Linked DNA regions of Arabidopsis thaliana. The protein of the gene in region 2 binds, or shares a complex with, the protein of the main gene of each other region. Each region holds a gene or a part of one and is shown on either strand. Other genes may lie near its edges.

Evidence for each region.
Region 1: AT3G18500 (region 2) and CAF1b share a complex: the UniProt entries of both Arabidopsis thaliana proteins name them as parts of the CCR4-NOT complex.
Region 3: AT3G18500 (region 2) and AT1G27890 share a complex: the UniProt entries of both Arabidopsis thaliana proteins name them as parts of the CCR4-NOT complex.

The regions. Positions count from the first base shown.
Region 1 is NC_003076.8:7,364,338-7,371,097, forward strand, and holds CAF1b (Polynucleotidyl transferase, ribonuclease H-like superfamily protein), read right to left. Parts: upstream 2,463-6,760; 5' UTR 2,105-2,462; coding exon 1,268-2,104; 3' UTR 1,140-1,267; downstream 1-1,139. Other genes in the region: OFP10 (Ovate family protein), read left to right, coding at 352-942; MS1 (RING/FYVE/PHD zinc finger superfamily protein), read right to left, coding at 3,370-4,792, 4,948-5,230, 5,543-5,855. UniProt on the Arabidopsis thaliana protein: Ubiquitous transcription factor required for a diverse set of processes. It is a component of the CCR4 complex involved in the control of gene expression.
Region 2 is NC_003074.8:6,348,062-6,357,995, reverse strand, and holds AT3G18500 (DNAse I-like superfamily protein), read right to left. Parts: upstream 5,525-9,934; 5' UTR 5,453-5,524; coding exon 5,140-5,452; intron 4,966-5,139; coding exon 4,796-4,965; intron 4,726-4,795; coding exon 4,660-4,725; intron 4,495-4,659; coding exon 4,442-4,494; intron 4,349-4,441; coding exon 4,267-4,348; intron 4,180-4,266; coding exon 4,090-4,179; intron 3,794-4,089; coding exon 3,701-3,793; intron 3,618-3,700; coding exon 3,585-3,617; intron 3,498-3,584; coding exon 3,391-3,497; intron 3,300-3,390; coding exon 3,188-3,299; intron 3,111-3,187; coding exon 3,025-3,110; intron 2,929-3,024; coding exon 2,844-2,928; intron 2,759-2,843; coding exon 2,699-2,758; 3' UTR 2,550-2,698; downstream 1-2,549. Other genes in the region: AT3G18510 (ATP-dependent helicase/nuclease subunit), read right to left, coding at 2,012-2,107, 2,178-2,285; ASPG1 (Eukaryotic aspartyl protease family protein), read left to right, coding at 7,404-8,906. UniProt on the Arabidopsis thaliana protein: Acts as a catalytic component of the CCR4-NOT core complex, which in the nucleus seems to be a general transcription factor, and in the cytoplasm the major mRNA deadenylase involved in mRNA turnover.
Region 3 is NC_003070.9:9,712,997-9,719,559, forward strand, and holds AT1G27890 (Polynucleotidyl transferase, ribonuclease H-like superfamily protein), read right to left. Parts: upstream 2,181-6,563; 5' UTR 2,049-2,180; coding exon 1,140-2,048; downstream 1-1,139. Other genes in the region: AT1G27880 (DEAD/DEAH box RNA helicase family protein), read left to right, coding at 1-79, 165-334, 488-512, 605-720, 809-905; AT1G27900 (RNA helicase family protein), read right to left, coding at 2,619-2,766, 2,875-3,050, 3,183-3,343, 3,542-3,611, 3,961-4,111, 4,225-4,348, 4,432-4,524, 4,700-4,914 and 5 more. UniProt on the Arabidopsis thaliana protein: Ubiquitous transcription factor required for a diverse set of processes. It is a component of the CCR4 complex involved in the control of gene expression.

The sequences.
Region 1 (6,760 bases), on a different chromosome or scaffold from region 2:
TTGATTTCTTAATATTGGTCTTGTTCATGTGAAACTGCAAAACCTTTTAGAGTTGTAGACGGGTGCTTAGTAGTTTTACATGCTCCATTTCCGGTTTACCAAAAAGGTAACCAGATCGAAACTAAAACATATTTCCGTTCATCAAAAATCTTGACGAAAACATATTGGTTCGGTTGTGGTTTGAGAGATTTCTTTTTGGTTCAAATCGGTTTCTATGTCCAATCCTTTGATATCACTCGAGATAGTTTCTTACAAATGATATCATATATAACTTTGAATTCACCTCAAGATGGTATTATTTTCCTTAAAAAAGAAATCCATCAAAATTGTGCATCTCCAAAGCAATGAGCAATGCTGAATCTCCAAGCTAAGTTAAATGAAAAAAAGGTTCCTCTTTTAACAAACTTTCCCACACCAACATCCTCACTCAATAATCTCAACTTGTTTTCTCTTCCTCTAGTAAAAAAAAAAATGTCTTTCAAGAAGATGATGAAGTATATACTCAAAACCATATTCAAACCCATTTTTATGGCATGCGGTTGCGGCTCTACCGTTCCACCTTCCTCTCACAGCCACTACACCCCGGGACCACCGGTTTCTCCCACGGTTTTACGCAGCCCATGTCCTAAGATCGATGAGAGCGTCGCGATGGCTAAAGAATCAATCAATCCGTTCGAAGATTACAAGAAGTCGATGAATCAGATGATCGAAGAGAGATATATCGAGACGGAAAGTGAACTTAAGGAGCTTCTAAGGTGTTTCTTGGACATAAACCCTTCTCCTCAACACAATCTCATCGTCCGTGCTTTTGTCGACGTCTGTTCACATCTCCAACCACCACACGACCGACGTGGGAAGTCACTTGGGAGATTGCTTCGTCTATATGTTAACAATCCTCTTGATAACAATGATGATGACTCACACCAAACTTCTTCAAAATGAGGAACTAAATCCTCCTCATATCTCTCTCTATATATAGATGTTACAATATTGTGAATAATTTCAATTTATGATTCCATGACTAGATGTAAACTATTAAACAACACCAACAAAAATCAAAGTTATACCTCAAAGCCTAGCTCTAACGTAACGATAATATTTTACTGCACAAAAAGTTTTGAAGTGTAAATTGGTTAAACAAAACCAAATTGAGTTATTTCGTTTTGGTTTTTGGATTTGGTTAAAACGAGAGATGAATAAGATAATTTCGATTTCGACTGTATAAATGATTAACAAAGATTAATTAAATTAATTAATTATAAATCCCTCAAAAAACCTCTAAACCATACAAAACTCCGGCGTGTTTCTCCGCCCCATCCTCAACGAAATACAAATCCCTCATCCTCTGAAACGCCTGCCACGTCAGCAAACTATCCGAACCGGCTTGATGACATTTCCCAACCGCCCGGTTAACTTCAAGAGACCGAGCAACCCGGTCCAAACCACCATACAATCTCTGCTCACAAAACCTCATAATATGTTTCACATCATAAACCCTATCACCGAAGAAAGCTCTAAGCAACCCTAAAAACTCACGCAACGCCACCGGAAGCTGCCGGCGCGTGAGAATCTTCACAAGGTAACCAAAATCATACGCGCTGTGAAACGTCACCCAGCTCACAGACTCGTTACAGATCAACCCCGATGACATCATCAGCTCCGCGAACCTCTCCGATTCAACACCTTCGCGACGGTTCCGCTCGAAATCGATCCCGTGACGACGGAGTAGCTCGATCGAATCAGGAGCGTGTGGATCACGCTCCACGTCGAAGTCACGGAAATTGAATTCCCAGATGTATCGACGGTTTTTTTGACCGCCGAGATCTGGGAGGTTTCCGTCGGCGTCGGAGAGAGTAAGACCGACTTGGATCAAACTTAAAGCGTCAACGTTGGATTTGAGAAGATTGTAGAGATAATTAGGGTTTCCACGGCGGAGAACGTCGAGATCCGCCTTGTAAATCACGCCGGGAAATTCTGTATCCATTGAGATGAATGGGTAATCTTCGACGATTCCTCTGATTAGGTCAAACTCTGACTCGAGATTATAAGCCCAAACGTCACGAATCACGATCACATCGGAGAGATCTGCTTCTGATTTGATCATAGTTTCAAGTCCCGATCTTTTAGGTCTTCTTCTTCGTTGTGAATTTATCAAAAGTCTGTTTTTTTTTGTTGATTTGGTTAATCTGCAAGGTTTAGTTATATATATGAATGTGAGTAAGAGAGTGTTTACGAGGAAGGAGAGGAGAAGAAGTGTGAGAAACGCGCACGTTTATGATTCAATGTGTTTCTTGACTTAGTCTAAGTTGGCTTCTCCTTCGTGTATCGAATTATTGCAATTCAAGTCGTTGTATTTAAGTAAGTACATTAAGCCGACAAGAATAAGAAGGCCAAGTACATTAAGATTTTCTATTGGTTTTTAAGAGTTGAATAAAACATGTAAACGTTACGACTTACGACCAATGAACTTTATCAGGAATATTGCTATATTACCAATAAACACTGAATATGTAACGACGCACTAAAAACGCATTAAAGGGTTGAATCATTAGATTATGATGATGTCTACACGTATCTGATTGTGCTTTAATGTTTTCACGAAATTGTAGCAACAGCGAAGCCTAGGTTGAGCCCTTTTCAGTTTTCATTGTTCCCTAGTTTACTCATCGAATCTCATGACTTTGTTGGTAGTGTTTAGAAGATTGTTCTTCCAGATTTGGATGTAAGTCCCAATTTCTAGAAACAATATCACAAACGTAGATAGTCCGTGGAGTTTTCCATCTTCAGTCAATATAATAAGAAACTTTTTAGGACGTTGACCTTGAACAGAGTTGTTAAACACATGACTGTTTTTCTTTCATTTCCTTTGTTTGCAATAACTTGATATTGTTCCATGTTAATGAAGAAATAATTTATTAATTCCAAATGCATCAATTGTAAAACTAAATTATTTAAATTATGTAAACCTTCTTTTGTTTGTAATTTTGTTTTTGCATCAATTGTAAGCCTAAATTATTTAAAACACTACACACTTCTTTCTCCGCCTTGTGTTGTGAATTATTTTCTGTTAAAATTTAACTGCCTTTTCTTGGAGACAAGCCTTAAGGTTGTTGTCAAGTAAAACTTGGAATCACGGTTGGAGTAGATGACGTCACATGAGTCATCAGGGGAAGAGGAGAGCGACATGTTGATAATGATATTATTAGAACAGTCAGGCTCCAGAGGAGGCAAGGATATGACTTTGTGATTCAACATGTTGGTGATATAGACGCAGGAGGGATCATTAGAATTCACGTTGATCGAGGAGTATAATTTATGTATTATGACGTAATGATAGAAAAAAAGAAGGTTTAATATAACATGAATGATTTAGGGTAAAAAAGAGAGAGGAATAAGATGTTGATCACAACTTTGACAAAGAAAAATGCGAGGCACTTCCTCATTGTGTTGAACACCAACACACCTTGTGTGTTGCCATACTTCACAAATATCACAACACACCATTCTCTCTCCATCTTCTTCCGTTGCTCCACACTCACACTCTATTCTCTTATCCTTCTTTTTATCATCATCTTCATAACATTTCGTCACTTCAATGTTCATCATCATTCCTACGTTCCCTTCTAACACCAATCCCTTATTCCCATTCAAGGCCATTTCATCGACCCTTGTGATCTCTATTTGACCACCCACCACTGACTCCACCACGACGTCTCTTAGTTCCCAATAGATATCTCTAAACACTCTTTCTGCCTCTCCGTACACTTCACTCAATGTTGCATCTTTCTTCACTACAATGCATTCTTGTGGAGGAACTTTTATCTCGTTGTTATGATGATGACATTTCCACGCGATCGTGCAGAATATTCCTAATTCTTCCCCTCGATCTAAGTGTAACGTTTTCGCCGATGTATCTCTAATGTAGTGATACTCTTTGATGAAGTACTTAGCGTCGAGGATTGCTCTTGAAGCCATTCCGATTTGGTTCAATATACCTCCTATGGGGCCTAACACTCCCTTGTAGTCCATGAGAATGTGTTTGTAAAAATAAAACATGTCTTTCATAACTTGACCTCTTGTGATCTTATTGTGACCGTTTGTCGCCATCTTCCCCATTGAGTTTTGGTTTTGAAGGGTTATGAGTTCATTGTTACTACTTGGTAACAAATTTGATATATCCTCCAAGGAATACTCTAGCACTTTCTTCACCGGATTTAGACTACGTCGGACCAAATAGTTTCCAACCACCTGGTTCCCAAGCGACTTCAACACAAAATCAAGCAAACCAGTGTCCCCAATGTAATTTCTAGCTGCATCCCTCACTTCTTGTCTCGATATCCATCGGTATTCGACTCTTTTCAGTGACTCTATGACCACTTTGATAGCCATTTGGATCCGTTTTTGAGACCATCTGCAGTTGGTACTATCAATGGAGATGATTTGGTTTCGGGAGTTACTCATGTAGTTATCTCTTGGAAGACGTGAATGGAGATGAAGCATGAACCTGAAGAGGTCACTGAGAGTGATCAATGGCTCGGTGGATAAACTTTGGTACTTTGACAAGAGGATTGGAGTTTCTCGGTTAAGGCTGGTTAGGTGATGGTTAAGCAAGCACAAGGGTATGTTACGGACCGACTCAAGTGCCTTCTCGTAAATCTTTTGAGTCACTCCGTATGTCCCTGACCCGAACCGGTAGCCCCAACGACCGAACCATGGCTCTCCTTTTGCTACCCCATGCAGCAGCCTCAACTCCATTCCTTTTTTGTGCGACGCGTCATTCAACCCTATTTTCCTATATGAACAAAAATAAAATGACTCATTATGTGTAAATCCAAATTAATAGCTAGGAATAATCCATTATGATATGAAAACTAACAGAATTGTGTTGAATGGTTATTGTGTTGAATGGTTTATATGATATACAAATATATAAAGTCTAATTAGTACCTGGCCTTTAAACCGGTGCAGAGCCGGTCCCACAAATCCATGACCTGATGACCGGTTAAGTCGGAGCCGGTTTCAATGCCGTTGAGAGAGAGCAAGTGACCAAATCCGTTGGAGTGAAAGAAGCCGTGAAGGACATGGCCTTGAAGCTCCACAAGATGGGAGAAACTTTCCTTTTCGGGAAAAGCGTAGCCTCCACCTTCCAGTTTTAAAAAAGCCGCCATTGTTTCCTTTGAGGGGATCACGAAATGGTACTTCTTGTTGCATATCATTTGATTTCCCCAACCTGCAAGGTTCCGTATAAACCATTGTATAATATATATTTTTGATCTTTACATAAATGCATCACTTTTAACCATATATTAAATTATTATTGCTATTTTTGTTCATAAGTACGTGTAAGCTTGTATATAGATATATATGCAAGAAAAATGCTTACATGTTGAGCTAGCTAGGTCAACTCTTACTAAATTTTCAGCTTATGATCTTAGGTCATATATAGTTATATACGAATGTATTCACATGCATATATAGATAGATACGCAAAAGAAAAATTGTATACAGAGAGAGAGAAGGGAAAAGAGAGAGAGGACGTCACCAACATATTGGCAATGGTTGCAACGGAGATTGAGAGAGGCTTCGATGGGCTCTTCTACGACAAAGAGAAGAACATAGAGAGGATTTGGATTTCGTTGAATCTCGAGCTGAAAAGACCAACTTCCCATTAGACCGGAGCTCTCAAAGTGACCAAACTCAAGTAGTTTAGCGAGGTTATCTCGAAAAGACAACTCGTTCATCTCAGCTGGATGTCCAGACTCTCCGAACGTCTTCAGCCTAAAAACTCTACTTTCCCCTCTCTTCCTCTTCTTTGGAATATGTTGCTGATGGTCTGTTCGAATCAGATTCGCCATCGAATCAGAAATTTGGTTTGATCTTGAGAAGAGAGGGAATAGGAATATGATAGATTTGGATATATATTATGATGGGGTTTGTTATAAGAAGAGACCGAAAAGTGTTGAGGAAGTGTGTTAAGGGTTTAGAGATATAGTAGTCATTAAGATGATGGTCACACAATTAGTGCTTTGTGGTGATGAAAAGGAAAAGTGAGTGAGAGAAAGAGAAAGGTTAATTAAACTGTGAATTAACAATTGTTACCATTGGATTGTATGTTAGGTCTTGATATGTGCATGACTTGTAACATTAACAACTTTTCTTTCTTAGCCAAATAATTAACTATTTTTCAAAAAAACATTCAAACCCTTCTTATTCCCAAATCTAATTTCATTTCTAAAAATACTTCTGTAATATTCGAAACTGGATTGATAATTTTAATACATATACATGTATTTGTGTAAGAATATGTGACAAATGGCATGCAAAAAGATCGAGGGTGAGGAATGTCACGTGACTTGGGAACATGAGAAGATAATATAATAAAATAATGAAGACATGCATTTGAGCTTCTCACATTTTTAAAGAATCAGATTAACTCTGTGTTCCGTCAATTTCTGTCATGTCTACCTGCACATATATGCATCTATTACATAACACACACGTGTGTGTTTGCGTGGTTGGACAAACTCAATTTAGTCGATTATCAATGTTTTAATTGATATGTAGTTTATTGATTTGTGATAGTGTTGATGATTTGTCATCACTATATGTTCAAACCCACATAGTTATTGTTAATTAAACATAATTAATATGTTACATCAATAGAAAAAGGTGTTTACATCAATAGATGTTTTTTAGCGGTTTAAAGAAAGTTTCAAATTATGTTCTCAGAAAAAGTGGTTTGCAAATTGCAATGGTATTT
Region 2 (9,934 bases):
AGGAAGTGAAAGGTCGAATCCATCACATCTTTTTTAATCATAATTGAGAAAGTAATCAAACTTAATTACGATCTTCACGAAATGGCAACGGGTAGGGGATGCACCATGCACGTGAAGTTCACGGAGACAAGACATTTCTTGCCTGTTGGCTGTTGCACTCATTACAACCTTTATTTCTTTGGCAAACACTCAATACAAACCTTAAATTTCTGGATCTCCACAAAATAGTTATATATGTAGGGACATAGCCCTGCATTGGATATTTTTTTTTGTTTTTTCCTTGCCACCTTACTGGCTTTAGTATAACAAACACATTAACCTCGCATTTTCCTAATCTTACGTGTAACATGAGCTCAGAGAAGGGTAATTGCATAACATATCATTTTTAAATACTAAGTAATAGCATAACATTTGTCATGATATTACAAATTATATAATTTTTTGTAATGTTTGGGTAATTATATAGCAACGGAAAGGGATGCTTATGAAAAGGAAGGATAGAGACTTCCTTCCTACATAGATGTAGGAGCAGCAAAGATCAAATGTGACCTCTTTATGGGTGAGATCAGTGCCATGGTACATGTTAGAGAGACCCATCTGAAAGACCCGAGAGGAAGTCCAAGTCGCGGCCACAAATAGGTACATGATGAGTAAGTCCAGGGCCAATCTTGCATGATAAAATATAACAACTTACGTAATATTTATATATAGCACATGTTATTTTTCTCTATGTTTTTAGCTTTCAAAATGTCGTATTTTCTGATACATGCTAGCTAGAGTTTTTTTTTTTTTTTCAAAAATTCTATTTTGCAAACTAACCTTAATAAACGTAGCACAAATTCATTTTAGGACAGATATTTCATACCAGGCTGGATATACAAATCCATAAGATATATAAAACACTTCTATAGGAGAATTCAAAAGACTATTTTTCCTAATCTGCCTAATCGAAGGCAGCTCAACCGAACATATATGAGAATTCTATTAATAGGTTAATATGTTTTTCTATTTTTGTTCAGTAGGACATCTTTTATATTTTGTAATTCGAACTATATGGGTCGGAAGTTGTGGAACCTTTTTATGTGTTCACTGGTTCATCAGCCCTACCAGTTTGCATCTAATTATTAAACTAAAAAATGAGACTTAAAATACATAGATGATTCAATTCTTGAGAGAAAAATGAATTTTGCCATGATAACGTAATTAAACTGAAACAGTTATGTAATACTTACTAGTATTGTTCTGCAATTATGGTTTGGTCCCAAAAAAATAACAACATAACTCTCCTGTCTCTTTCATGTTAATATTTAATGTTCTGTTTTGGACATGTCCTCTTTGTGTGGAATTTACCATGAAAAATCAGGAATTGGGTTGACCCTACGAAATGAAGACTCTTTCATTGAGCACAAACACCAAAATCTAGACATTTTTTTGTTTGTTGTTTTGGCGTTTCTTTAAGTTGAACTGGTGAAAAGAAAATAATTACGAAACCTTTTAGAATTAAAAAGAAGACAGAACCCGACTAAACACTTTTAAAAGTCCAAAAGAGCTGGATCGGTTCCATATGCTTTTTGCCCAGTTAATTCTTTTTCTATCTGACATCTCTCAAAAATTTAGCTTAGTAAAACCATTATACCATTCCAAAATCAAAGTTATGTAGCTAATACATCAAATCCTCATCACATTCTAACAGACAACGACAACAACAACAACAACAGAAACATAACTGATTAAGGATTTGGATGGAACAGCAATTTTGATGTAATAAGGATTTAGTTGTTTCTTTAAGAAACATTTGAATAGATGAAAGATACATATAATGCTCAATATGGCTGCTTCTCTGGTCCACCATCATGGTATATAGTTATTAAACCAAAGACAAATGAAACATTTTCATAATGCCAGACCAAACCAAACCGAAAAATACATGAGAGAAAAAAAGTCAAAACAGCATCAAACATCTGTTGGGCATTTCATCGAACACTTTGAAGGCATGCTACCAAGAAATAAGCTAAACAGATTCTTCATTGATCTGAATAAGATTTTCTTCTTCTTGTCTCTTCTGCATATCCTTCTCGTATTGATTCAACGCTTCCTCCATCCTCATCTGCGTAAAACCCAACAGTCTAAGGTCGAGCACAAGCTTTCTCATAGGAAGACAGAGAGAAGAAACAGACCTTGTAGCTAACTTCGATGCGATGCATTACGTAGAATCCGAGGGCCCCGCCGAGAAGTGTTCCAGCTATGATCCGTGCGTAACCCCATGTCATTGAGCTCAACGCCATTAATTTCCTCACTTTCTCTTGTCTCTTCTTCCTTCGATTCCAACTTTACAGCTCTCAATCTCTTTAGAATTCCTTTTCATTTTACCGGAACCAAGATTAGAACCGTACCAATTGGTTCAATTCTTTCTTTTTGGTACATTTAAACCAAGCTTATGTCCGCTTCGGTTTAGATCCAGAATCAAGTAAACTGGTTCTCTCACTTTAAATTACGTTCGAAGAAGTCGATTTAATATCCTAGTGACCCAATACGCACACAAGATTGAAGCTTCTGATCGTCTCAATTTTTATTTATTTATCGAGAAGTCGGTTTGATATAGAACCATGATCAGGTAATTTCGGTACGCTTATACATTTAATAAAAACACATTTATAACGGTTCGGTTCAAAGAAAACTAAGCTGGCACTAGATGCCTTTAACCGTCCGGTTCAAAGACAAATTCAGAAACAAGAGCCAAGTGATCGCTTCCCAATTCCTGCAAACCAAAGACGAATAAGGCTTTAAGCATCAATCATAGAAATGACCTCACCAAATCTAAACTGTTTGATAGAAAGACATACTTGACAAGGAAGGCCTTTGGTTTTGCATAGAACATCAATAGGAAGTGTGTCAAGAACTCTTGCAGGTAAAAGACCATCAGAGTACCTTAACCAGACCACACATGTATTTCTAATTAGTTACTTCATCAGCCAAATATTAAATTTGTCCATTTGAGTTTTGGTTGTGTTTAGAATGTTTTACCAGAGATAATCAACCGTTCCGAGAAATTTCGAGTGATATGAGGTTGCTAGAGGTTCACCAACAGAGTCCCTGGTATTTGCTGAGCCCTGTTGTGTACCATGTTCATGAGCAAATTTAAGGTCTTGTCATATATAGACAGGGACATTAAAGCTTTGTTTGTTACCTTAACTGAGGCGTATGAGCTATTGAGTTTCAGAGGATGCGCAGCCCAGTACGAGTTCTCTTGCCCGGTTGCGACACGGATCTCTTCTTTTGTCCAAGAGCTACAAAAACTTCTACTAGTGTGTGAACACAATGGCTATTCCAGCAGGCAGTCACAAGACAACCATTCACAGAACTGATTAAATCTTCAAAAAACAATCTTACCTGAAAGTTATTGTATTACTGGATTTGCTACCAGTTTCAAGAACTTTGGTAGGACGACAATTTTTCTGGCCGGACAGCTCTTTTTTGTCATGTTCCATGACATTCAGCTGTAAGATAGAAGCATAATCCTATTTAAAGAAACTACAAGAGGACACAGTGTAGTTTGACTGAAGCAAAACTATGAATAGTCATACCTCAGAGGACGCCAAGAAGTTGTACAATGGACTCTACACGTAATAAGATAAACTCAAACAATGAATAAACAAATACACAAACCAAAGTGGAAGAGTTTATTTGAAAAGATACGTACCTTGGGAGTGCTATTGAAATCTCCGCATAGAACAATGGGAATGTCACCCCATTTCTTAGAGAGCAAGTGAGCCTTTGAGCAGAGTGAACGGACCTATCAGTCAAGAACAAGGCAAATCAGGAACTCAAGAAAAAACATAAGCCACGAATTCAATACGTTTTCATGAGCATTAGGACATATACTAATGAACATGTCATGACATATACTAGTAACTTAGACTTGTCTTAGATATTTAAACTAATGCTAGTAAACATCTCTTGACTGAGATTCAGTACAATTTCCTGAAGTCTTAAAGCCAAAGGTGAAAGGGCCAGATCAACATTTTGTAAACTTTCATGACAGTCAATTGCTCGTGTAGCGGATATACAAATTGAAATGTCGAGGCTTACCTGACCCAGCTTCACATCTCCTTGATTTGGATTATAAAGCACGTGAATGTTACCCAGCAGTATCTTTCTTGACTTATTAGACTTCCGGAGCTGACGGGAAACCCAAAAAAAAACTGGATCAGTCAAAGCATATACATGAAAAAAGAAGTTCGTAAAACATTCAAAAAAAATTTCTACCTCAAGAACAGCAAGCTGTGCAACATTATCCCGCATACCAAACTGGCTAAACTCAATGTTTTCCCTCTCCAAAACTCCAAACCTTTTGAAAACAAGATAAATCTTAAACAATGCTGAGTTGTAGTAGTCGTTTTTCTTCACACTAATACAGATTGAGTCAAACAATATGTGCTACCTGTCAGCCTTCCAAAACATTGCGCAACCATCGACGTTATCTCCAGTTCGCCGCTGCCATTGCAAAGCTTATATTTGTAGTCCTTCTATATAAACACAACTTTTGTTGAGGCTTCAGACGAAAAGGTAAATAAAACCAACCGACAAACCATGTCTTACATTTTACCCCATTAATCTTATAAGCATAAAATTTTTCATTGAACAAGGAAATACATCAACCTTATAGGAGCCAGCATATCCAGCTTTCTCCATCATACTGAATAGATCAAAATATTTATCTACTTCCTACAAAGGTCCACAAACAAAATCAACTTAACTATCTTAACACGATATAAAACAAGGTAAAGTTCATTACCTGCATAGAGATTATGTCTGGATTGAGACGAATGAGTTCTTCGCATATCAACCTTTTGCGGTAGCCCCACTTGAGGTAAGGAACAGACACATTGGAGTACAACTCTCTGTGATATGATGAATTTCCATCTCCCAATATGTTGTACGACACTACAGTGAATCTCTCTAAAGCTAATATTACATAGAGACACACTAGTAAGATCCAAAGGCATCCACAATTTCACAAGCTTCATGGACAAACAGTAACTCAAGCTATTACTAATATCTCTAATTTACTAAATCCTAACTAGTTCACAAATTCATAAGTAAGAGCAGAGTTTTTCCATAAGATCATTATTAAACTACCTTGAGAAACTGGAGTTGTATCTGAATCGATCCAATCACGAGCAATCTGAGAAGACGGTATTTGATCGGGATGTTGACGCCGGGGAAGAGGATTCTGCCATCTACGGCTGTAAGAGCGATTTGAAGATGATTCGGGATTTGAATCGGACGGTCCAGATGTGGAGGAGGAGCAACACACGAAAGAGGAACGGAAAGATAGAGACGATAAAGGACATTGATGGAATCCAGATGAAAGGTGACCACCGGAGGGTAAGATACGGTAAGCTTCGCTTGGCCGTGACCAAGAACAATCAACGCGATTCACACAACGCATTCGATTTTGTGGATGTTAGAGACGAAATTCAGAAATTTGGATGAAATCGAAAACCACACAAACCTCTTGGCGCCATACGGATAAATATCTTTTTTTTTTTCTTCCTTTGGTCAGAGAAAAAAAAATACCAAACCATGGGCCATGGGCCAATACTAGTATACTACACCAGGCCTTGTTTAGCTGAGATCCTGTTTTTTGTTATTCGGATTTTTTGTTTTAATGTCTATTGTTTTTTTTTGTGAGTTTGATTTCAATTTATGTCATTTTGTTTCTAATTTTAGTAGGATGTCAGTTTTTATTTTAGTCTAGTTTTATCATGTTAAGAACTTGGAGATGATATTTGATTTTGAGTTATGAGATTTTGTTTTTTCTTTCATCGTCCTTGTAATTTTTTTTTGTTTTTTCATATACTATGATATTATTTCTACTTTTATTGGAGTATCAATTATTTGATTTCAAATTTAGTGATAGTAGCTCAAAAAAAAAAAACCTTACACAAAAAAGTATATGTCTTTTTGTGTAAGGCGATTACTGATTACACACACAAAAAAAAAAATGTCTTCGTTTCTACCTTTTTTTTTGTTGCAATATTGCCTTTGACAAAGAAAAACTCTATGATTGCGTCTACATTATAATGTTCTTTAAACTTTACTATAAAATATCACTAACTAATCTTGAAATACAAATTAGTGAAGGCATATTGTTAAATATAAAAGTGTATGCGATTTAAAACATTACTGATTGAATTGCATAATCTCATTTTATGGAAAAAAAGTAAAGTAGGTATAAGAAAATGGATATAACAAGATTAAAAACAAAAGAGAAATAAATGACACGCAACAACCAAAGCCAAAAGGGTGCGTTACCATTAATTCAGGGAAAGCGAAATAAACCCAAATCTCTCTTCTAACGAAGTAACAACTCACCCACTTCTCACATTGATTCACTCCTTTCCAGTTTTTACATATAGCCTTCGTTCATCAATCACCTTAAGCAAATTGCAATCACAAAAAAAAAAAAGTACAGTACTTAGCAAAATTTTAAGTTTTTGTTATTTCCACGGCAACTTAGCAAATATGCACCACATATTGACATTAGCTAATATACAACACATGTTTTTTTAGAAATGTACAAGCATTAACAAATATCCAACACAAAATGACATGATCGTAGATGATTAAGATAATTCGATCCCTATAACTAATAGTTTCCAAAACTTCTGCTGACTTTTCTCTCGACAGCGATGGTAAGAAGAAGGTACAAAGTTTTGAAGCCCGAATATAACAAAAGGACAGAAAGCTTTTAGTTTTCTAGATAAGATCTTAGCTTTGGTCACGTAAAAAAAATTAAAAGTGAATTGGTTAACAATATAGGAGTACTTTGTATCCAAAGGTCATTGCAATAAATAAACACTTAAGTACTCTGTAGTCACACATCTCTAGGAGCTTAATATTGGATAATCGCTTGTAGACTTGTATTAAAATATTTAGTAGGTCAAATCCCTATCTTCTACAGTTTCTACTCTCGTCCGTACAGACTACAGACACTATGCTATAGTTTTGTGTTGAATTCTACAAAGTACAAATTCTTCTTTCGGTGCCAATAACAAATAAACACAATTCTCAAATTACATTTGTCTAAATTTTTATTTGATTCGGTATAAATGTAACGCTATGTTGGGAATCATATGATAAATCCAGATTAAGACTTCTTATTTAATTTATTTTTGTATATATAAAATATAATATCCAACCATAAAGTTTTTTTACCGATCGATGATAATGTGAATCCAAATATTTTAACAGGATGATAAATAATTGATGTGGCTTTTATAACCGCAGCAATTCTGGCGTGACTCTCTCCGCAGCATTTATTTTTCTCTCTATAAATTAAAAACATTACTTACTCTTTCTCTCTTCCACTTAACTCATATCAACCTTCGCCGGAAATAATGGCTTTCCCGCGATTTCTTTCTCTCCTCGCCGTCGTCACTCTCTCTCTTTTCCTCACCACCACTGATGCTTCCTCTCGCTCTCTATCCACTCCACCTAAAACGAACGTACTCGACGTCGTTTCATCTCTCCAGCAAACACAAACTATCCTCTCACTCGACCCGACTCGTTCCTCACTCACCACCACCAAACCCGAATCCCTATCCGACCCGGTTTTCTTCAATTCATCTTCACCACTATCTCTAGAGCTTCACTCTCGAGACACTTTCGTCGCGTCACAGCACAAAGACTACAAAAGCTTAACACTCAGTCGACTCGAGCGCGACTCATCCCGAGTCGCCGGAATCGTCGCGAAGATCCGTTTCGCCGTCGAAGGAGTCGATAGATCCGATCTCAAACCCGTTTACAACGAAGATACACGATACCAAACCGAGGATCTAACGACACCTGTCGTCTCCGGAGCCTCTCAAGGAAGCGGCGAGTATTTCTCAAGAATCGGTGTCGGAACTCCGGCGAAAGAGATGTACTTGGTTCTCGACACCGGAAGCGACGTAAATTGGATCCAGTGTGAACCTTGCGCCGACTGTTACCAACAGTCCGACCCGGTTTTTAACCCGACTTCGTCTTCCACATACAAATCTCTCACTTGCTCTGCTCCACAGTGCTCTCTTCTCGAAACCTCCGCTTGTCGGTCAAACAAATGTCTCTACCAAGTTAGTTACGGAGACGGATCTTTCACCGTCGGTGAACTCGCTACCGATACGGTGACGTTTGGTAACTCTGGTAAAATAAACAACGTCGCTTTGGGTTGTGGTCACGACAACGAAGGTCTCTTTACCGGAGCAGCCGGTTTACTCGGTTTAGGCGGTGGTGTTTTATCGATAACCAATCAAATGAAAGCGACGTCGTTTTCTTACTGCCTCGTTGACCGTGACTCGGGAAAGTCCTCAAGTCTTGATTTCAACTCGGTCCAACTCGGTGGCGGAGACGCGACGGCGCCGCTTCTACGTAACAAAAAGATCGACACTTTCTACTACGTCGGACTCAGTGGATTCAGCGTCGGTGGTGAAAAAGTCGTGCTGCCTGATGCGATCTTCGATGTCGATGCTTCGGGAAGCGGAGGAGTGATCTTGGATTGTGGAACCGCCGTGACTCGTCTTCAGACGCAGGCTTATAACTCGCTGCGTGACGCGTTTCTTAAACTCACCGTGAATCTCAAAAAAGGATCTTCGAGCATCTCTCTGTTCGACACGTGTTACGATTTCTCGTCTCTCTCCACTGTGAAAGTACCGACGGTTGCGTTTCATTTCACGGGAGGGAAGTCGCTTGATTTGCCGGCGAAGAATTATCTGATCCCTGTGGATGATAGTGGAACGTTTTGCTTCGCTTTTGCTCCGACGTCGTCGTCGTTGTCGATCATCGGGAATGTGCAGCAGCAAGGGACACGTATCACTTACGATCTATCCAAAAATGTTATCGGATTGTCAGGGAATAAATGCTAAACATGTCAAAGTAGAAAAATTAATAGTTTTACGGGTAATCAGTAAAACTTTTTATGGTACTAGCTAGCTACGGTAACAAGATGAAAACAAAATCCTTAAGTGTGAATTTTTCTACCTTTTTTTTAATTAATCATAAGTTATTGTCGTCTTTTATCGAATAATAATAGGATTAATTAATTTTATTATAAAGTTGAAAGTGTTGTTGTCTCAGCAAGAAGTTTTCAGTAGTGAAGAAGAAGAAGAGTCAATAAAGTAAGAAGTTACAAAAAAGAAGGGTCTTTTTGTAACAAAAGTTTAGTCTTCAAAGAAACAAACAGACTTTTGTTGTTGTGGCCCTTTAATGTCCTTCAATATTTTAAATTATAGTCTGAATTTTACCAACTGTGTGGAAATCAATCAATGTGAAAGTTGTTAAGTTGGGGTATTCAAATAAGAAAAGCCAGGGTAGAAAAATTTGCCTTTTTCACACTCACCTTTGAAAAATAATACTATTTACATGGAACTGTGTCTCAGGGAATGGAATTTATCATTCTAATCATCACTGGAATTGCCCGATTACAATAGTCAGACATCACATATCATATCACTTTTCCATAATTATATATAAGATTTCAACCAAATTTGTTTCAAGTTTTATACTTTCTCTGTTCTTAGAAAATTTTAGAAAAATGATGTTCTTCTACTTTTGTAATTTGTTTTACAAAGATTAGCTTTTTAAGATTTTTATTATTATTTAGTATTAAGATATCGTAGAGCACAATAATTAATAGTTTCATATTACTATTGATTTAAATTTATTAAAACATATTTAATATAAATAAGAATAATTAATCAATGATTATTTTAAATATATGTAAAAATTCTAAAACATCAATATTTAGAAACAAATAAAATAACACTCCATCTGTTTTAATTTAGTTTGTCATTTTAACACTTCAATTTTATCACATAATAGTTGTATAAATCTTCTTTTTAATTTTGTTCTTACAATTTTAATGTTTTGACCAATAATTTAATAAAAATATATA
Region 3 (6,563 bases), on a different chromosome or scaffold from region 2:
AATCTTAAAATCTCCAAAGGAAATATGTTCATTGTCCAGTCATCTAACCAAGTGGCTCACAGAGATTGAAAGTTGCAAAGTAAGTTCTTCAATTTGATCTACTGCATAATTTAAGTTCCAACGCTTGTGCTTATATGTAGCAATAATTTTTGCTTCTGATATAGGTGAGAAAACTGGATATTATGTCTAGTGCAGCTGTGGCTGCGATTAGTGTCTCTAACACTTCAGAACTGAGTTCTGGTGCCAAGCAAACTCGGAGCCTGCAAAGCAGAATCTTTGATTACTTCAATGGTGATGAAAAGTGTGACAGTCCGAGCAAGGCTACTCAAAATTGGTACTAACAAAATATTTTACTTGTTTTCATAGATTCCAAATTTCGATTATTGCATAGCGAATAAGGAAATATAAAACTGCGGTTGTTACATATTATTTGTTTGTCAAAGTCATCTTTCCATTAAATTGATCAACGCTTGTATTGTGGATGCAGCGCCTTTCTACGAGCAGACATAAAGGTGAAGATCCAAGAAGCCACACTGTTGTTCATACTTTATTGTTTTGCCATGTATCCAAAGAATGTCCAGTTAACTATTGTGTGTCAAAACAGGTGTTTTTGCAGAGTAATCGCCAAGCCAAATTCACACCAAGAGCCATCGCGAGAATAATGCACGGAGTTGGAAGTCCAGCTTTTCCGAATTCAGTCTGGTCCAAGACTCATTTCTGGTATATTCATCATCATCAGCTAAACCAAGCCATGCAAGTTATTGTTTGGTGATGGTACATGTGATTTAATTGAAATATGGCTTTGCAGGGGAAGGTATATGAACGTAGACTTCCGAGTGATAATGGAAGCGGCACAAACAGAGTTGTTCAATTTTGTTGACAGGAACGCAGCTTTAGCTACATAACATAAGATTAGAGGCTTTGAGTAGATTCTTAGGATATTTAAATTTATTTGTATTGTATTCTAGATTCATTGAAAGTATCCAGTAAAGAGAAATTGTGTCATATGAGAGTTGAGAGAATTGTTTTGATCGACAAGAAAAGATGAAAGTTAATCTTTAGTATTTAAAGAAACATCTGATAAAACTAGAAATTATACATAATAGCAGAGCAAGTCATGTTAAACAAACATTCAGGCATCACAAAACGTAGTTCCTTCCTTGGACCGGCATCCCAAAGTAACCACCACCAAAATACGGGTTCGGGTGATGAGCAGCAAACATCACCGATCTCGGTCTCGGTATAGGTATCGGTATTGGGATGTAACATCTAGTCATCATAAGCTGCTGCTGCTCTAGTTGATATTGCTGATGATCAACTCGTCTTACACACTGCTTTCTACTATTGAGCAAATCGAAAGTCAACTTAGTGAAGACACGAGCCGTCAATTCACTGTCTGAGCCAGCGTGATGAGCTTTTCCAACACGTTTCATCTGCAACACATCAGCTATTCTCTGTAGTCCGAATCGGCTACTTAGTCCGCTGCATGATTCAGCGATTTTCTTTACGTCAAAAACAAACTTTCCCAAAAGCTGCTCGACGGTCTCGTGAAACTCTTCCTTAGTCTCCGGTAACGGTTTCCCTCCCGTTAAGCCTTTAACGAGATAAGCATTGTCGTAAGAGCCTTGAAAATTCACCCAAGTTATCTTTCCGTCCTTCTCCTTGAGAATCTGAGAAAAGTCTCTAAAGAATTCTTCGATTCCAATACCTTCCTCTCCGATCTTGTCCAGATTGAGACCATTGCTTTTGAGAAAAGCTATGGACTTATCGTTTTTGAAGCACTTATGTTCGTTGAAATCTGACAAGTTTATTTCCCAGGTTTTAGTGATTCCTCTTCTGTCGAATAGCGTGAAACCTAACTGGATGAGATGGGTGTTGTCCACATTGAACTTCATGTCTCTGTAACGAATTTCCTCACTCGCGTCCATCGGAGTCTCCTTTAAGCATCCGGGAAACTCTGTGTCGATAGCGATGGAACTAAAATGTTTCAAACAATCTCTTATCGAATCCATCTCTACTTCCTTGTTCCATCTCCAAACTTCACCCATCTCTCTCGGATTTTGAAGACTGAAACAGTTTGTTTATCTGAAATACTAATCTCTCTCTCTATCTGATTTCGGAGACTCGAATACTAATAGCAGTGGGAGTTTCCTTTTTTCTTACGTCGCCGGAAAGTTTCCATTTTTTTCCAGTCAAAAAGTTCGTGTTGACTTTTATCACTCCTAATTTAATTCTTGTTGGACACGAGATTTCCATTTTCCTCTCAAAAGCCCAAAATAAGAGAAGCCTGTTTCCGAAGCGGTTTACAATTTTAATACTAAACCGAATTAAATCACTAAACCGAAGTCTGACTAATACCAAAACCTTTTTCTTTTCTTTTTTCGTGTAAACATTATCATCTTTTAAACATAATACTAAGAACATACCAAATTGGGTTAAAAATTTAAAACTCATGTCGAATGAGAATAAAGAAAAGTTTAAGTTGAGCCAAAAAAAAAAAAAACAGAACATACAAAATTTGAAAATTGTCTCTAATAACAAATCTTCTACAGAAAGCTTCTCTTTTCTATTCTTTATAGGGCTAGTTGAATCTTGTATTTATGTTTGAGACATCAAATTTATTTCTGTCCTTTACGAGCAAGAAAGCGTTCTCTGGCTGCTTCAATCCGACTCTCAACATTTTCAGAAACTGCAGGTGTTTCTGCATTGTTTTTAGACAACTCCGTCTTCTCCTCAGGTACTTTGAAAGAGGGAGCCGGTCCACCGCTACATGGCAGATTAAATGATACCGATCAATTACTGAATCCAAGACCAGACAAGAAAAAGCTAGAACAAGACTGGATTGAACTAGTAAAGAGTAATGTTTGTTTTTACCTCAATTTTCTGACATTTAATTTCTCGATCTTTCTTTTGATGGGAGCCACCCATGCCATATCTACTGCACAAACATTCCGCATGAACGGACGTGTGGTGGAAATCAGCTCATGGTACACTACGTAGTTAGGCATCATTCCGTCATTGTCGGCACTCAATACAGATGATGGATGCACCTAGAATCAACCAAAAACGTCAATATGTCGATGATCATACGAAACTGGAAATGCTTACATATCTGAGCTACTGATGTAATAGAAAATCTAACACTGTAACAGATAAATGAGACTTGGATTGAGAAGTAATGCCTGGACTAGCTGGGACTGGAAACTAAGAGTCCGGTATCCATTGTGACGAAGCATTCTCTCAGCAATTTGGTTTGCATTACCAACGCATAGAGCTTTCCTCAACTTCCTGTAGTCGTCTCGGCTTGAACTCTTCCTACCATCTGCCCCAACTTCCAATCGATCTAGTTTGTCAAGGAGACCAAATATTTTAGTGACGGTTGGTTAGGTATGACACAGCCACCTATCACATCTCACAAGATAAAAGAGTGATGTTGACATAAACTCTGGTTCTGTTGGAGGCATAACCATTTAGGGTGAAAGCCATAGAGAAATAATTATATATTCTTTCACGGAATCTTCTTGTCATGAAACAATCTAACCTTTGGATATTTTCTGCATAATCTGACATAACTGTCTTCTAACATCTTTGACAAACACCATCCCTCGCACCTGCAAATTATTTTTCAACAAAAGTTATCTTTCTTATTGGCATAAGGAACCCACGTAATAATGTACCGAAATAGACTATCTAAACAAAGGTAGTAAATTTCAGTAACTCCCATAATTGTTGGTTATAAAACTGTATGAAGCAGAAAATACAAACATTGACGCCCATCGGAGTCAGGTCTCAACAATGAAGGGATTTTCTATGCTATATAGATTGTATTAACTGCAGAGACAGCATATAACTGACCACCTTCTGAAGTAACAATGCAGTAAGGCTTTTGATGTCACCATGCTTTTCACTTGGAATACTCGAGAATAGATAAGGAAGGAAGGAAGAAAATGGAACAATTACCTGCATGCCGTTCTCTTTGCACCATACAGGATCATAATTAGTACGGTCCCAAGATTCGAAAATCTGTAGCAGTTGAATGTGATCACCATATCCGGATCCATTAGGAAGATTAGAATCTTCATCATGTTTCCTCTTCTTTTCACTGGGTTTACTATCATGCAAGCAAAAACCATAAAGACAAGAGTTGACGCATCTGTATCTAGTCAATGTGATTTTAAACATTTCACAATCTGACCCAGGTTATTGTATATCGTAAAAACTAACCTCCTAGCAGGAAGAAGAGTTGTCTCTGCTGACAGCATAGCAACAACTGTTAGAGCTTGAGATAAGCAACCGGTTTCATTCGCTTCTATCAATGTTCTTGACAATGATGGTTCTAGTGGAAGATCTGTTGAACCACAAATATGGTCAGTATGAGATAGCAGCTCAAACTAGAAAAAATCAAACAGAAGAAAACTGCGCTAAACATACCAGACATTGTCCGTCCAATCCTTGTTATTGCTCCATTCTCATCAATTGCATCAATGAAATACAATTGCTTCAACGCATCTTCTAATGACTCAGCTGAATATTATATGCAGGACAAAAACCAGAGATATATTATATCACTGGAAAATTCAAAAGTATCACAAGCAAAAAAAAGAAAAACAGCAGTTTGTGCATGACAAACCATCAGTCCATTGATTTTGTAGAAAGCTTTATAAGAGACATTAAACTCCGGATAGAAATAAGTTCTTACATGAAGGAGCATCAAGAAAATCGAACTTGAGAATGTCAATATCAGGAAGATCCAATGATTTCAAGTATAGAACACTCCCGGCAAGAGAAGTTCGTTGGATTTCAGGAATAGTTGCATCAAGGAAGTCATCTCGGTAGACTGCCAATGGGTATAAACGATAACATTTCCCCGGTCTTGTTCGGCCAGCACGTCCAGCACGTTGGTTAGCTTGCACTCTGGAAAAACAAAGTGAAACAGAAAAATATTCAAAGTACAGTTAGCAAATAGGAGCTTGATGAAAACCTGAGTAAGAAACCACTGGGATTCCTGATTAAAAAATGTAATATCTGAATCTGATGAGGTCCTATTGAACCAATATAATTCCTTTTTGAGCCAACTGCGGATATCTTTACTAGTTACGGCTATAAATCATCACACATCAACTACAAGTTCATTATATGCACCAATAGATTATTACAAGGTTCATATTTAGCAAACAATCTAATGGAATGAATGAAGGTATTGAACCAAGATTCATTTGCTTACTTGCTAATTTGAATAACATCAAGAGAAAACATTCCACTTGATGGGTTATATTGTCTTTGCTTCACATACCCGGAATCAATTACATACCTGTCAAAGAAAACAGACTAGGCTGAGAATGCTATCGATCTCCAAATTGTCAAAACATTATCAGAACTTTGCTTAAAATGCAGATATGAACAAATGATACAAACAAAGACGACTTTTGGCAACAGTAACATCACAGAATAAGGAATCTTCTCATACTACATTCAGTTTTGATAGCTTGACAAAGAGACAGTACGACCTATTCATGTAGAATTAAATGTCTCAATCGTCTGTTTCAAGTTAAACTCCAAAAGTAGATCTCATAGACGTGATTGTGAACAACATGTACTGAAATGTGAAGTGAATTTAAAGGAGCGAGGAATATAACAAACAACATTAAGCCGGTATCATATATCTGCTTAAATCCATTACTGCACCTAATTACACGATTGCAGTCTTCATGATTAGTATGAATGATAAATTTATTCATTTTTTTACAGGGCCTGACTTAACACTATCGTAATGAAAGTATCAATATGTACAGTAAATCTTACGGTAGATACCAGACATGAAAACAAAAAATAACACTATAAACTTAAGGTTTTGAGTAACTTACACAACCCCGTCCACAGTAAGGGAAGTTTCAGCAATATTGGTAGAAACAATAAATCTGCGGCAGTTTGGAGGAGGAGGACTAAAGACACGAACCTGCAGAAATGGTGAAAGTCAAGCAAATTACCAAAACCTTTTACATCACCTAGATATCTCAATTGCCCAGAAGCAAAAATCTGGAATGGACACTCATATTCTGATTCTAGAAATTGTTACCTGCATTTCAGGGGGCAAAGAACCGTGAAGAGGATAAATAATAGCATCCATACAGGATCCTTCTGCTAAGCTTCGTACTTTTTCCTCTAGCCTTGATACTAATTTTTCAATATCATCCTGTTAAAACCAAAATAGAGTAAGACAGGACGCAACAATCTAGATAGTTCTGCCAGATTTCAATGGCTAGAATTGAAACAGATGATACAGACCTGTCCGGTCATGAAGATTAAAATATCACCTTCTGGCTCACGAACATGTATATCTACAAGTAACAACAAGATTTTTTGTCATGTAACAGAGAAAACATACTGTCAACAATGAAACAAGTAAGATTAACCAAATCAAATTGACTTGACAACAGAAACACTCGAGCTTGAACATACCAATAGCTACTTTCAGAGATGACTCAATATAGCTGACAGGACGCTCTTTGCTGTATAATATTTCCACGGGGTATAATTTTCCAGGTACATTCAGCACAGGGCAG